3 linked regions of the Arabidopsis thaliana genome follow. The protein of the gene in region 3 interacts with the protein of the main gene of each other region in a pairwise test. Each region holds a gene or a part of one and is shown on either strand. Other genes may lie near its edges. The genes, in order: ERF10, AT2G31220 and LBD4.

Region 1 (3,533 bases), about 10 Mb from region 3:
TTTTGGTTATGCTGGTGCCTGGTAGACGAGAATACAGTTGTGTTAGTACCGTCTCCCTAAAGTTATATGTCACATCCTTTTTTGTATATAAAAAGGTGCGACAAGTTCTCCAATTGTTCTTCTTTGGACACCACACGAAAGCTAGTAGCTTTCATATGAGGCATGTGTATGTCATCGACAGATGTACATATCGAGACGTGTTGACTACATAATATTATAATATATGAGCACATACATGCATGTATGGGATCTATGAACATATATACTCCTTTTGGTGGACTCTATACTCATTGCTATAAACAAAGTGATGAAACATACATATTTCTGTTTATCAAGAGAATCTTGATTTTGGATCAGTTTGTTACTGGGGTATTAAATACAATCATTGTCACAGATGTTTTTCTTTCTCTCATTTGATATTTACCTTTGCTCTTATAAGTTATAACTAATTCAAGGAGCTAGTGTATATCACCGTAAAAGAGAGCGCGTGAGTAAAAAAGGTAAGTAGTGAGATAAGTTGTATTCCACGTGTCACTGTGGACGGCGAAAAACACACGTGCGACCCACCTGACACCAATACTTCTTTATCCCCCACGTCAACACGAAATCCATTGGCTAGGTTATGATACGATAATAGTTCAATTACCTTTTTTTAATACATAAAAAAATGTTTGTTTTGTCCTCCAAAAGCACGAATCAACCAATAGAAGTACAGACAATCAGAAGAGCGACAAGATAACAAACTTATTCAAGGACAACAACATCAGATCAATCTTTAGGGACTTGCGTTGAGGTCAAGATCCGGTTCCATTCGCAGCTTACAATCCACGGCGGAGGAAGTCTCAGGCTCTTCCACGGCGGTTTGAGGACCAATAGTCAACCCCATATCAATGGACTCAAACTGGTCAGGACAAACTCGATCAAGCTCCTCTTTCAACGCAATAACTTCAGGCAGATCTAAGAAAAATCCAGCAACCGCTTCAGCCACCCCCGGAGATAACATGTCGTGACAATCCGATGGAAGTGTTCCATCACGCGCCGTTTCGGAAAGGGTGTTGTTCACCGGAGAAGCCAAAGCATTCCCATCGTCTCCAACGAGAGGGAGGTTGGCATTTCCATCACTCACCGTCTCGGAAAGGTTGTTGTTCACCGGCGTCGCCGAAGAAATCCCATAGTATCCGATTAGAGGGAAGTTAGTAGTAGCTTTCGATCCTCGAAACCTTATGGCAGCGGAGTCGTAGGCTCTGGCGGCTTCCTCCCCCGTGTTGAAGGACCCGAGCCAGACCCGTTTTTTCTTTACCGGATCACGGATCTCCGCAGCATATCTCCCCCATGGTCTCCTCCTTACACCCCTGTAACGCACTTCCTTACTCTTTTCTCCGCCGTCATTCACGGCCAGGGCCTTAGTTACATTCTTTCTCTTCTTTACGCCCTTGTCACTCACTTCCTTACTCTTTTCTCCGCCGTCTTTCACGGCCACGGCCGTAGTGACATTCTCTTTTTCTGTGGTCATATTTTGGTTGGGGGAGAATAATTTAGATAAAGGACAAAACTATTGTTTTATAGAAGTGACGTAATCCCACAAAAGGACAAAGTGACAAAAATGTGGAAAGAAATGTCCACGTGGATTGACTGACGCGCCGCCTTAAAGAGAAAACAGTTTTATGACGCCTTTTTATGTTTTAACCTAAACGTCCCCGTTCTTGCGTCTCGCAGTTTTGCGCCATTTGTTGCTTGGGCTTTAACAGGTTATTATCTTTGGGCTTTTTCATATTTTATCTGAGAATCTGATAAACAAGTACTTAGAAATTATCCATGTCGAATATATACTTCGAGAAAGCTTGATGAATCTAAAATTGTATTCTTTGATACAAAAGTTATAATACATAAAAATTGAGTAGATGATACATTGCTACATTATAACAAAATTTGATGATTTATTATTACTCCACAATCTGCTTAGACTAATATTGGATGTCAAAAAAAGAAAATTCGACTAATATTAAGCATAATATGAAAATATAATGAGTTTAAGTTTCAAATTTTGAACGCGCCAATAAAATGTATACCGTTTTAAAAATCGCAAAAAATGAATTAGTGGTAATTTATAATCCAGTAATTTAGATAATAATCCAGAGTAAGATTTGTTTCTAATTTTCTCATTTAAATACCATTGTGAAGAATCTAAACCCTAATCTACCAGCGCGACTCTTCATCACGTCAAAGTTGTCAATTATTTTGAAAAACCCTAAGGAGATTCAAATTACGACACTATGTCGACGACGGCGAATACTAACGCGACGACTGCGCCGAAGCGTAAACCAGTGTTTGTGAAGGTGGATCAGCTCAAACCAGGAACCAGCGGCCATACTCTGATCGTCAAAGTCCTTGAATCGAATCCCGTTAAACCGGCGATTCGTAAAAGTTCGTTGACGCAGCAGCCAATTTCATCTCCTCGTATCGCTGAGTGCCTAATTGGTGACGATACTGGATGCATTCTTTTCACCGCTCGCAACGACCAAGGTAAGGATCTTAATTATTTACATATATAAGTTCTCTTGGTTAGGGTTTCGTAATCGTTTCTCTATCGTTTTCACTCGAAATTGCGTTCAATCTTTCCATAATTTCTCTGTTTCTAGGTTTATATATGCCTTGATTGGAATCTCTATGTTTGTGAAGATCTAAAACATTTATACTTCAGAGATTTTGATAAAGTTTAACTTTTTTTATAGATAATTTTGCTTATAGTTTAGTTTATTGATGAACAGAGTATATCTATTTATATATGTCTAAGCTTTGATTAGTGTTCAATATGTTCCACTTCATTAATCTCTAAGCTTTGATTAGTGTGTTTGTGTTTGACATTTATACAACTTCCTATTCAATATGTGAGAATATGTATGGTACTAATTAATGATGTTCTTTTGGGGTTGCAAATGCAGTTGATCTAATGAAGACTGGAGCAACAGTTATACTGAGGAATGCGAAGATCGACTTGTTCAAGGACACTATGAGAATGGCTGTTGACAGATGGGGACGCATTGAAATAACCGGTCCTGTTTCGTTCGAGGTTAACCGGGCCAACAATCTCTCTCTGGTCGAGTATGAAGTAATTACTGCTTAATGACTACAACCGGTGTCTGTCTCTACTTCTCTTCGTTATTATTTAATTTAAATTTTCAGAGAACTCTCTAGGTCACTGAGATTATATTCAGTTATGATTACTTTTGAGATTATGATGGTGTAGTTTTGGTCTTGCATAGTTCTCTTAAATTGGTATTATTGGTCTTTTGATTCTATTTTTAACACATACTCGTCGCTGGTATTAATCATGGTCATAAATTGAGATTAAGATAAACGTTAAAAAATTTTAGCATAAACATAATATAACTCACAGCTTTGATTTGTATAACTTAAAAGTGTTTTTACTTTCACTTTTCATAAAAGACAAGTAAATGGAGATTGCACAATATAATTAATTGCTCCAAAAAAGTGTTTTGTTTTCTCAAATACAATTTCCTTCTAAGGCTCAT
Region 2 (4,481 bases), on a different chromosome or scaffold from region 3:
GTTAAAATTGTGATACACGTCATAAGCTTTTCACAGACATACTTTATTTTAAATGTGAAAATAGACTTCAAAACAAAAAAATACACATGAACGTGTTCGAAATAGGGAATAAGCAAAAAGGGTGACAGACAACGAGCAAAGACAAGAGCGTTGAGACAAAATCACATCCTTGTTTTTTTGTTTTAGATCTAAAACAAATTAACATTCACTAATTGATAGTACATTTTTTGTTTTGTCAAAGCCTAATTGATAGTACACATTATTAAATAAAAGCTTAAACACGTAATTCAACGGTAAATGAAAAATCGTAAAAAGAACCAGATTAAAATTGGCTCATTGTAAAAAGAACCACTGAAAATGTAAGCAAGTTTCTTAATTTCTAGTTAGAAAACCAGAATCGATAAAGAAGCAATGGTTTATAAATTCCGGACTGATGATTATTCTCAAACTTTTCAAACGACACGGCCCACTGGCCCATTAAGAGCAATATGAAACGTAAGGTAAATATGAGCAAGAGCATTTGTTAAAAAAAAAAACGCAAGAGATTAAAATGTGGTCGAAAAACGAAACCGATAAAGCTAGAAGAAATATATAGAGTTAGACAAAATCCAGACAAAGAGCCTCAGCTCTAGCTCTAACTTTAACTCTAGCTAAATAAACTTGAAAATTACCAAAGTGATTAATAACTTAATCAGTCATTAGAGGGGTATCACAAAAGTTATTAAAAAGCAATAAACTACTCCATAAGTGTGTCTGGAATCTAGTAGCCGTTGCTAGGAACAGCTTCCATGTACTGCTTCTCCACGACCTCCATCAATGTGTCTGCAATTCCACTTGCATACACACAAGATCCTTCACAAATCTGCCTCAAACCAAATTGAAAAAGATTAGTTTATTGGTTTGGAGTTAATAACAGAACTATATTAGTGAGACATTTTCATTACCTTAGTGTTGAACAAGAAGCTGTAATGTTCACCAATCTGTCCACCTGCAACATGGTGAAGATCTAGCTGAAGCTGATCAAGAACTTTGGTGGTGAACAACAAACAGTTAATCTTCTTCTTCTGAACAAGCTTGATGGTTACTTCATCATCGATTATACGTACATCGACCTCAGTGACTTTCGATTTCCTCTTAAGCCATGAACATCTCAGTGAGTTGTTGTTGTTCTTGTTGAAGCAAGACTGGTCTACTTCGCTCTGTGGCTTGTAATTCACAGTGTCTTCTTCTTCTTCTTGATCTTCTCCTCCTCCTCCTTCACCAACTCTAGCTCTCTTCTTGCTCCTGAATCTCCCACATCTCTTCTTCTCCACAAGCATCTTAAACTCCTCTATTGTCCTTAAAAGCTCTTTGATGTAATCTATCGCCTCTCCAACTATCGATGCTCTATCAATCTACAGAGATTAAACCAACAATGTCTCTCATTTCATAGTCTCCTCATACACATTAACAACATGAATTGAAATCAAAGCAAAGTAAAGTATATACCTTTGTGGGATTTGGAATGAGGTTCTTTAAGTCGAAGAAACGATCATTGAAGTGAACTCGTCTCTCACGTTCTGTAGGGGAAGTTCTCGACTTTCTTGATCCTCTTCCTTTACGAGTAACTCCATTGTTAAACTCAAGAATCTCATTCTCAAATCCACCATTGTTGTTGTTTGCTCCTTCAAAGTACAAAACATTCATTCCTCCATTAGCATCCATCTGAATTTGATCTTCAACTCCAAGTAAACAAGAGCCGTTTCTTAGCTGGTTCTGATCTCTAGGCTGCATAGGGAAATTCAAATGGAAGAGAGGGTCGTACATAACAGCAGCAGCAGAAGAAGAAGACATAATGTCTGAGAAAGAGGTAGGTAGCATAGAGGAAGGATGATGATTAGGAGGCAATGAGCATCTAGGCAAGTGTAAGAGACTAAGCAAATCAGGAGTTGTTGCAGAGTTAGGTCCCAAATTCACAAAATCCTGATACCCATTATCCCAATTAGAGTGTTGTTGTTGATGTGAAGCCATTTGGTGAATCAAATTGTTGTGGAGTTGATCACAAGGAGGAGGTGGTGGAGGAGGAGGATTGATGTGAAACTGGAGAGGTGTTGAAGAAGCTTGAGGACAATCTTGTGGGCTGAGATGGAATTCAGAGAGCTCTTCTACCTCAACACTGCAGTTGCTGTTGCTTGTGCTTCCGGCAACCAGAACTTGCGGTGGTGGTGGTGGTGGTTCGGCTTGAGAGAAGCTACTCTCCACCGTAACTTCTGCTGGAGTGTTGGGATCGAAACAACCCATTTCCTCGTAAAGGCTTTCTCTTTCTTCTGCGTTTGTAACTCAAACACTAATTTAGATCTTCCAGAACGAAAAAGGTAGCAACTTTCATGAGAAATTAGACCAAATAATGAAATTTTGTTACCTTCCATGGAAATGGTTCAACGAGTACTCTAGATGATTCTTTAACACCTGCAAATCAAAAGTAACATTCAACAATCTTTAAGAAGAAGAAAAACCAAAAATTTGAAACTAATTTCAAAAAAAGTTAGCTCTTTTATAATTTTGGAAACGAAACCATAGAAATGTTTGTTAGGATCCAAAAGATTAAACATTGGGTTAAGGGTTTGAATTTGACAATAGATAGAAAGAGATGTAAGATAATGAGTAATCAGAGCTGGGAAAATTAGAACCTTTGTTACAATTAATTCTTCTCTACGTCTGTCTTCTCAATTTTCAGGAGAAGAAGTAAGTTTTTTAAACAAGAGTCTCTCTCTCCCTCTCTGTGTTTGAAATATACGGACATTTGTAGATGGAGACACACAATACAATAAGGGTAAAAAGATGGCAAAGTTAAATTATTGGATAACATGTATATTCTAGGTGTCTAATTTAAACGAAAATGTTGTATATAATCCATTAAGCTATGTTTCTAATCCAACTTTGATGCATGATTTATTAAGGTTTTGATTTGTTACATGGTTTGTGAAATTACTTCTTGTTTATAGTCATTTTTTAAATCATTTTCTATGCAACTTATTTTTTGATTAATCATTTCAAATGTTGAAACCTGATTACCAAATACCAATATGATCCTAAACATATCTTTTAACACTTAACCAGTTGTAAGAAAATTAGCATTGTATATATTTCTTTTACGTTATAAGCTCACTTTTAAGAAAATATAAATTGGGTTTTTTTTGGGGGCTGTTTTGGTTGGAGCATGTGATTTATCATTGTGGCCAAACATAAAGGTTGGTTAGAAGAATCAACAGATGGGTCCCTTGCCGAATCTCTCAGGTCTTTTCAACGACTTTAGGGGTATTTCCGTCATTATCAGCAAATACGATCTTCTCTCTGACCAATATGATATGGGCTCCACTAACTCACACCGACAAACCAAGTAGCCCCGTTTGCTCTTTCCCATTTCTACCCTTTTCCTTTCATTTTAGTAAAATTTGGATAAAAATATCCCAAATACAAAATTGTAATTGATAAAAGTATTTTAACGCGAAACTATTTTCTTGTCTTAGATGTATGTTTTACTTCTATAATTAATCTCATGTTTAATATGTGTTATGTTTATGCAATCGTATTTTATTATATACTCGAATTGAAAAAACTCTTCGACTTAATACAAGAACCAAAAATACTAATGCACGGTTTAAATGGATATGTTTTGTATATAAAAAGTGTTCAGTTTTAATTTATGGATGATTAACTACCTTATCATCAACAATCATGGAATTATTTATCACATCATCTAGTTTGATTCATCTATACGTTGTACATGGCATTGATAAAACTTATGTATGTATATCATAGTTAAATAGAAGTATAAATACTTAAACCCCTGGGTTTTCTAATTTTATAAGTAAACTGTGTTCAACAACTAAACCATCATAGAATAGTTTCTATCTCAAACACTTCCTGTAATGTATATCGACAACTCACTTAATTAATCTAATTTAACACTTCCTTTCTTTGTGTATAATCGATAACATAAAATGATAAAATAAAAATTCATCCATAAGAAAAATATTTAGATACTTGAAGAGATGTATAATAGAGAATCTGGTAAAAAAATAACATGGACTGTATTGAATATAAATAATTCATTTCATTCATATATGTTTATATTTCAATCTTTTCTATTAAATTTTTCTAAATAAATAACAATTTTGGATCAAACTAATTGTATAAGTTTCCTTGTTGAGCGGTTGGGTCATGCGATTTCTGTTTATAGCAAAGAGAGCGGGTTGTTTGAGAAGTAGTGGAAGTAGGTCCCACATCCAAGAATGGGATAATAATATACTTTATATTTGATTTAGTAAAAAAAAGAATTAGGGTTATTCTTGAAATTCGACAGAAACTGAAAAAATTCTGGTCACCTACCTCTCTCGTACACGGTACACTGCGACTGTCCCCATCCTAACTAAACAGTACAAACTCTGATTACTCAGAAAATGTTAAAATGTATTGCCGGACCAAACCAACGATTTGGT
Region 3 (4,236 bases):
CGATGTTCCTTTGGCTAGTCGGATCATCTTCCGTGGTTTCATTTGGCCCGTTGCTGCCTACAGAGAGTTTCTCAATGGTGATCTCATTGCTAAGGATGTTTAAAAAGGGAACTTGTTTTCTGCTTTTGTGTTACTCTCTCTAATCTCTTTGTTTTCCATTGTACTTATTGAAAAACAATGCATTGTCGAAAACCTTATAAAATTTGGATTGCGCAAGTAGAAAGAATTATGGCTAAAATGGTGATTGACAGATTGTGATTTTGCGGTCTAGTGATTGCTATGTGAAGCTCAATTGCTTGAAGGGAATATCCTGATATAACGCACAGGAGCATAACCAAATTTACTTAGTATAATGCTATTTTACCACTCTTGCATTTGCATGAATGCAGGAGAAGCTCTTGAACTATAATAGACTAAATTACTTGTGTTTCTTCTTAAGCTCACTGTAAATTTCTTACCACAAGCACATGCTCCGGTCCGGTCTTTCTGTTTCCTTCATATGCGAGCGATTCTATCAGCGACTATCAAATGGCAAATGTTTGCAAGGAAACCAAAAAATAAAGACAAATGGGCCATAAGTTTGCATAATAAAAATTCAGGCCCATACAAGTGCTTAGTGCTAATTGCTAAGCTAGACTTAGCTAGTATCAAAGATGACCATTACACGATAATATGCTCACAGAGTCAAGCACACACCATGGGTTACATGATCATAATTGTATATAGATATAGATAAATAATATATCTCACAAATTTACATTAGGTCAATAACAAAGATCCCTCCTCGGTTGGAAATGATCAAAATAACCCTACCGGATCATGATCCAAAGGTCCTACACATACACCAAATCCCAAATACCCCGGAATTACAAAGTTACAAATACTAATAAATATATAGAGAGAGATTTATAATATATAAATATATTTAGTATTTTTATGTATCTATATCATGTTAATAATTTCACTCTGTAGTCAAAACAGAGCATTTTCATATCCTACCCCTAAATTTAATATATAATAATCCCGAAATTTCCCAAAAAAGGAAGAGGAAATTGCAGTAGCAGAAAGAGAGCATTATTGACTAGCAAGACCACATAGACTCTCCCAAACTGGCTTCATCCACAATGTCCATATGGCTAAACATGCCCTTGTTGTCCTGTGGACTCACTTGCTTCGAAGACGGTGACCCGCTGCTACTCGGACTATCCGGGCATAGTCCGTGCCCTGGGAAATTAGTCGACTGGCGTACACGTAGATGCACCACCTCAGCTTGAGCTAGAGCTAGCTGAGCTTGCAACACATCTATCTGTTGCTGGAGGGACGAAATTGCCCCAACGCAACCGTAAACCGGATCCCGCACTCTTGCATTAGCCTCGTAAACCATGCTGCTCACAGCGTCCCCTCGCTGGTGGATTGGTAATTCCTGTTGAGTTTTTAAAACATTTTGTCAGCCACTAGACCAATTAATCTCGCAAGACTATATAAAATTTATATAATCCATCTCAAATGTAGACTCTACATCAGCTAGCTAAGAAATGTAAATCATATCATTAACATTAGCTAACAAAAGTTAATATGGTTAAAATTCAACATCAGCTAATAAATGTAACATATTCCTAAATTCTTAAAATTCAACAATTTTGTTTTTAAATCCCTAAACTTATAATATAAACGGGTCGGCCCATGTGGTAGTTGTCAATAAAAAGTTATGGAAATGATAGTAATGTCTCATCTAAAATAAGAAACAAGAAAATCATCCTAATTAAACCTAACCCAACATATGAGTAAGCACGTTTTAGATATTCTTAAGAAGAACAAGAAGAAAGAAACCTGAAGCATCTTGTTGACGTTGCTAGCACCGAACACTCTATGAACATTAGCAAATTTCTGAGGCTCATCGGCCGGAAAATACGGCGAGAAAACGCAATCTTGAGCGCACCGCCGCCGCAAAAGCTTACACGCAGCACACGGTGACGCAGCTCCTTGCTTCCGGCTACTTTCTTTCATCTCTCGCCGCCACGTGTCCTTTGGATATGTGAATTTATCTAGAAGAACTGAATCTCAACCGTTGGATTGTCAGTTATCGAGAAAGCTGTGGGAGGGTCTCTAGGTGAAGTGTGACGGATCTGTGGGGATTTATAGAGTGAGAAAGAGAGATGAATTAAATTAAATTAAAACTGAAAATTTCCAAAGATTTAAGACAAAAGTAAAAAAAATAAAAGTCAGCACATCTGAGAGTGGGACCCAGAGATTTGGAAAACTTTAGGTTTGTTTTGCTTTGGTCGTAGAGCAAAAATTAACATCACGTGACATGACCATTTTAGTTTTACTTTTGGCGCCAAATGCTATTTGTTTTTTTTATATTCTCTTTTTGTCTTTTACCCCTTATCTATTCTCATTGGTCTTAATTTTTTTTTTTAACTTTTGATTTCTTTTTCCCCTTAATTTGTTTTGCCTTTAATGTTTTCTTCGAATATGGTTGAATTAAATGGTACAAGTTGTAATTAATATTCGGAATCACCACAAAACTAAATAAAGAGAAATTGTAAATGATATACTCCCTCCGTTTCACAATATAAGTTGTTTTACCTAAAAGTACGAAGATTAAGAATATTTACTTTTAAAAAGTTCAACCAATCACAAAAGAGACTGCATAATATAAATAATTATAAAATATTAAAATAAATATATAGTTTGCATAAAAACTTAAAAACAATTTAATTGTAAAACAAAAAAATTGGTCCAAAACAACTTATATTATAAATCGAAGAGAGTATAAAAATATTAATCAATTTACTTTATAGCAATTGGTTTTGAAATAGTCGACCTATAAACTTTAATATTGGAATTCTATACTCTTTTTTTTGTAGAGTGAGCTACAAGAGGGTTTTCTGTTTGGAATGTTACATCTTTATTGAAAATGTGTATAGGATAAGGAAATTTATGGCCTCGTGCTTGTGCATGTAATCATTGTTTCTATATCTTTTGTGTATTGAGATTCTCACAACTTTCTACGTGGTCCCTCAATTTGCATAGAAGGGGATTAATATTAAAATCTGAAACAAATGAAACTTAATTTTCCATTGCTTAAAAATCGTGGAAGGGTAAAGTGGAAATCTAAGAAGCAATTCAAAGGAATTAGAGGTATCAATCTAACAACAGATATTTTAAGTTTGATCATAAACTTTAGTAAACTATAATGGACAAGTCTTTATCACCGGTGGTTGGGTCAAGGGTTGAAAGTTTAAACGATGGTGGATGTCTTCTTTTCGGATTCTGTGTGGTGTGGTTAGATCTTCTGTTTTGATGCAAGTCAGTGGTTCTTATTCTCGACTGCTTTGAGTTGATGTTCCTACGTTTTGCTGGTCGAGGACTCTTACAATTTTCTCTCGGCTCGGTGATTTCTGAGATGTAGTTCTAGTTGCGACATAAGTTGGGTTACATCTCTTAGACAATGTAGGTAATACTAATATTGATGTATAAAAAAAAATGCAAAGATATCTATTTGTTGATATTTTAGAACATAAAACAGTATATTCTTAGAACAGAAATATACTATTTTCACATGTACCCATATCAAGATTTTGTTTTTAGTACATTTACATATTATCAAGGTTTTCATTACATATTTGAAGCAGATTTTGTAAAAACTCATTTTACGGTCATTATAAAAAGAGAAAAAACAACCTTAAAATAAACACAAAAAATATAGGGGCAGGGCAACAAAATGTCTAGTCTTTCACTAGTCAAAAAATAAAGTTGAAAGAAACAATACAGTGCACGCTATTTTATTTTCGTAGAAAAAGACAAAAAAAAAAAAAAATTAAAAAAATTAAAAAAAGAAAACGCCCACAGCTTTCGAAATCAAAGATAGCCTGAAAATGACGAATGTAGAACATTTTACAAGGACGACAAAAAAAAACATTTTAGAAGAAAACTCCCACAGCTTTAATAGAAAAAACTGTAAATTCTTTTCATGAGATGTAATATACTGAGTATTAAAACTAACTTTGCTTGTGTACAAATAGGCAAATCTATGTATATTTGCGATTATCATGTTCTTGTTAGAGCTATGTTGATATATATAAAATCGTTTTTTTAGTCGTAATTGGCGATAGAAGAAGACTCCAAAATTTCATGTCAACAAAAAGAAAAAGGAAAGAAAATTCCAAAATGAATTTGGAAGAATTTAGAAAGATAATATTCTTTTATTAGAAGGAAAAGAGAACTACACAC

Evidence for each region.
Region 1: the proteins of LBD4 (region 3) and ERF10 interact in a two-hybrid assay, tested with the Arabidopsis thaliana proteins (one large-scale study listed by BioGRID).
Region 2: the proteins of LBD4 (region 3) and AT2G31220 interact in a two-hybrid assay, tested with the Arabidopsis thaliana proteins (one large-scale study listed by BioGRID).

What each region holds. Positions count from the first base shown.
Region 1 is NC_003070.9:956,486-960,018, forward strand, and holds ERF10 (ERF domain protein 10), read right to left. Parts: upstream 1,899-3,533; 5' UTR 1,514-1,898; coding exon 776-1,513; 3' UTR 619-775; downstream 1-618. Other genes in the region: AT1G03810 (Nucleic acid-binding, OB-fold-like protein), read left to right, coding at 2,274-2,523, 2,943-3,124; AT1G03820 (E6-like protein), read right to left, coding at 3,523-3,533.
Region 2 is NC_003071.7:13,300,941-13,305,421, reverse strand, and holds AT2G31220 (basic helix-loop-helix (bHLH) DNA-binding superfamily protein), read right to left. Parts: upstream 2,757-4,481; 5' UTR 2,670-2,756; intron 2,449-2,669; 5' UTR 2,409-2,448; coding exon 2,402-2,408; intron 2,350-2,401; exon of another isoform or gene 2,307-2,349; coding exon 1,489-2,306; intron 1,395-1,488; coding exon 945-1,394; intron 863-944; coding exon 761-862; 3' UTR 553-760; downstream 1-552.
Region 3 is NC_003070.9:11,210,878-11,215,113, reverse strand, and holds LBD4 (LOB domain-containing protein 4), read right to left. Parts: upstream 2,157-4,236; 5' UTR 2,008-2,156; coding exon 1,831-2,007; intron 1,424-1,830; coding exon 1,082-1,423; 3' UTR 547-1,081; downstream 1-546. Other genes in the region: PSAF (photosystem I subunit F), read left to right, coding at 1-103.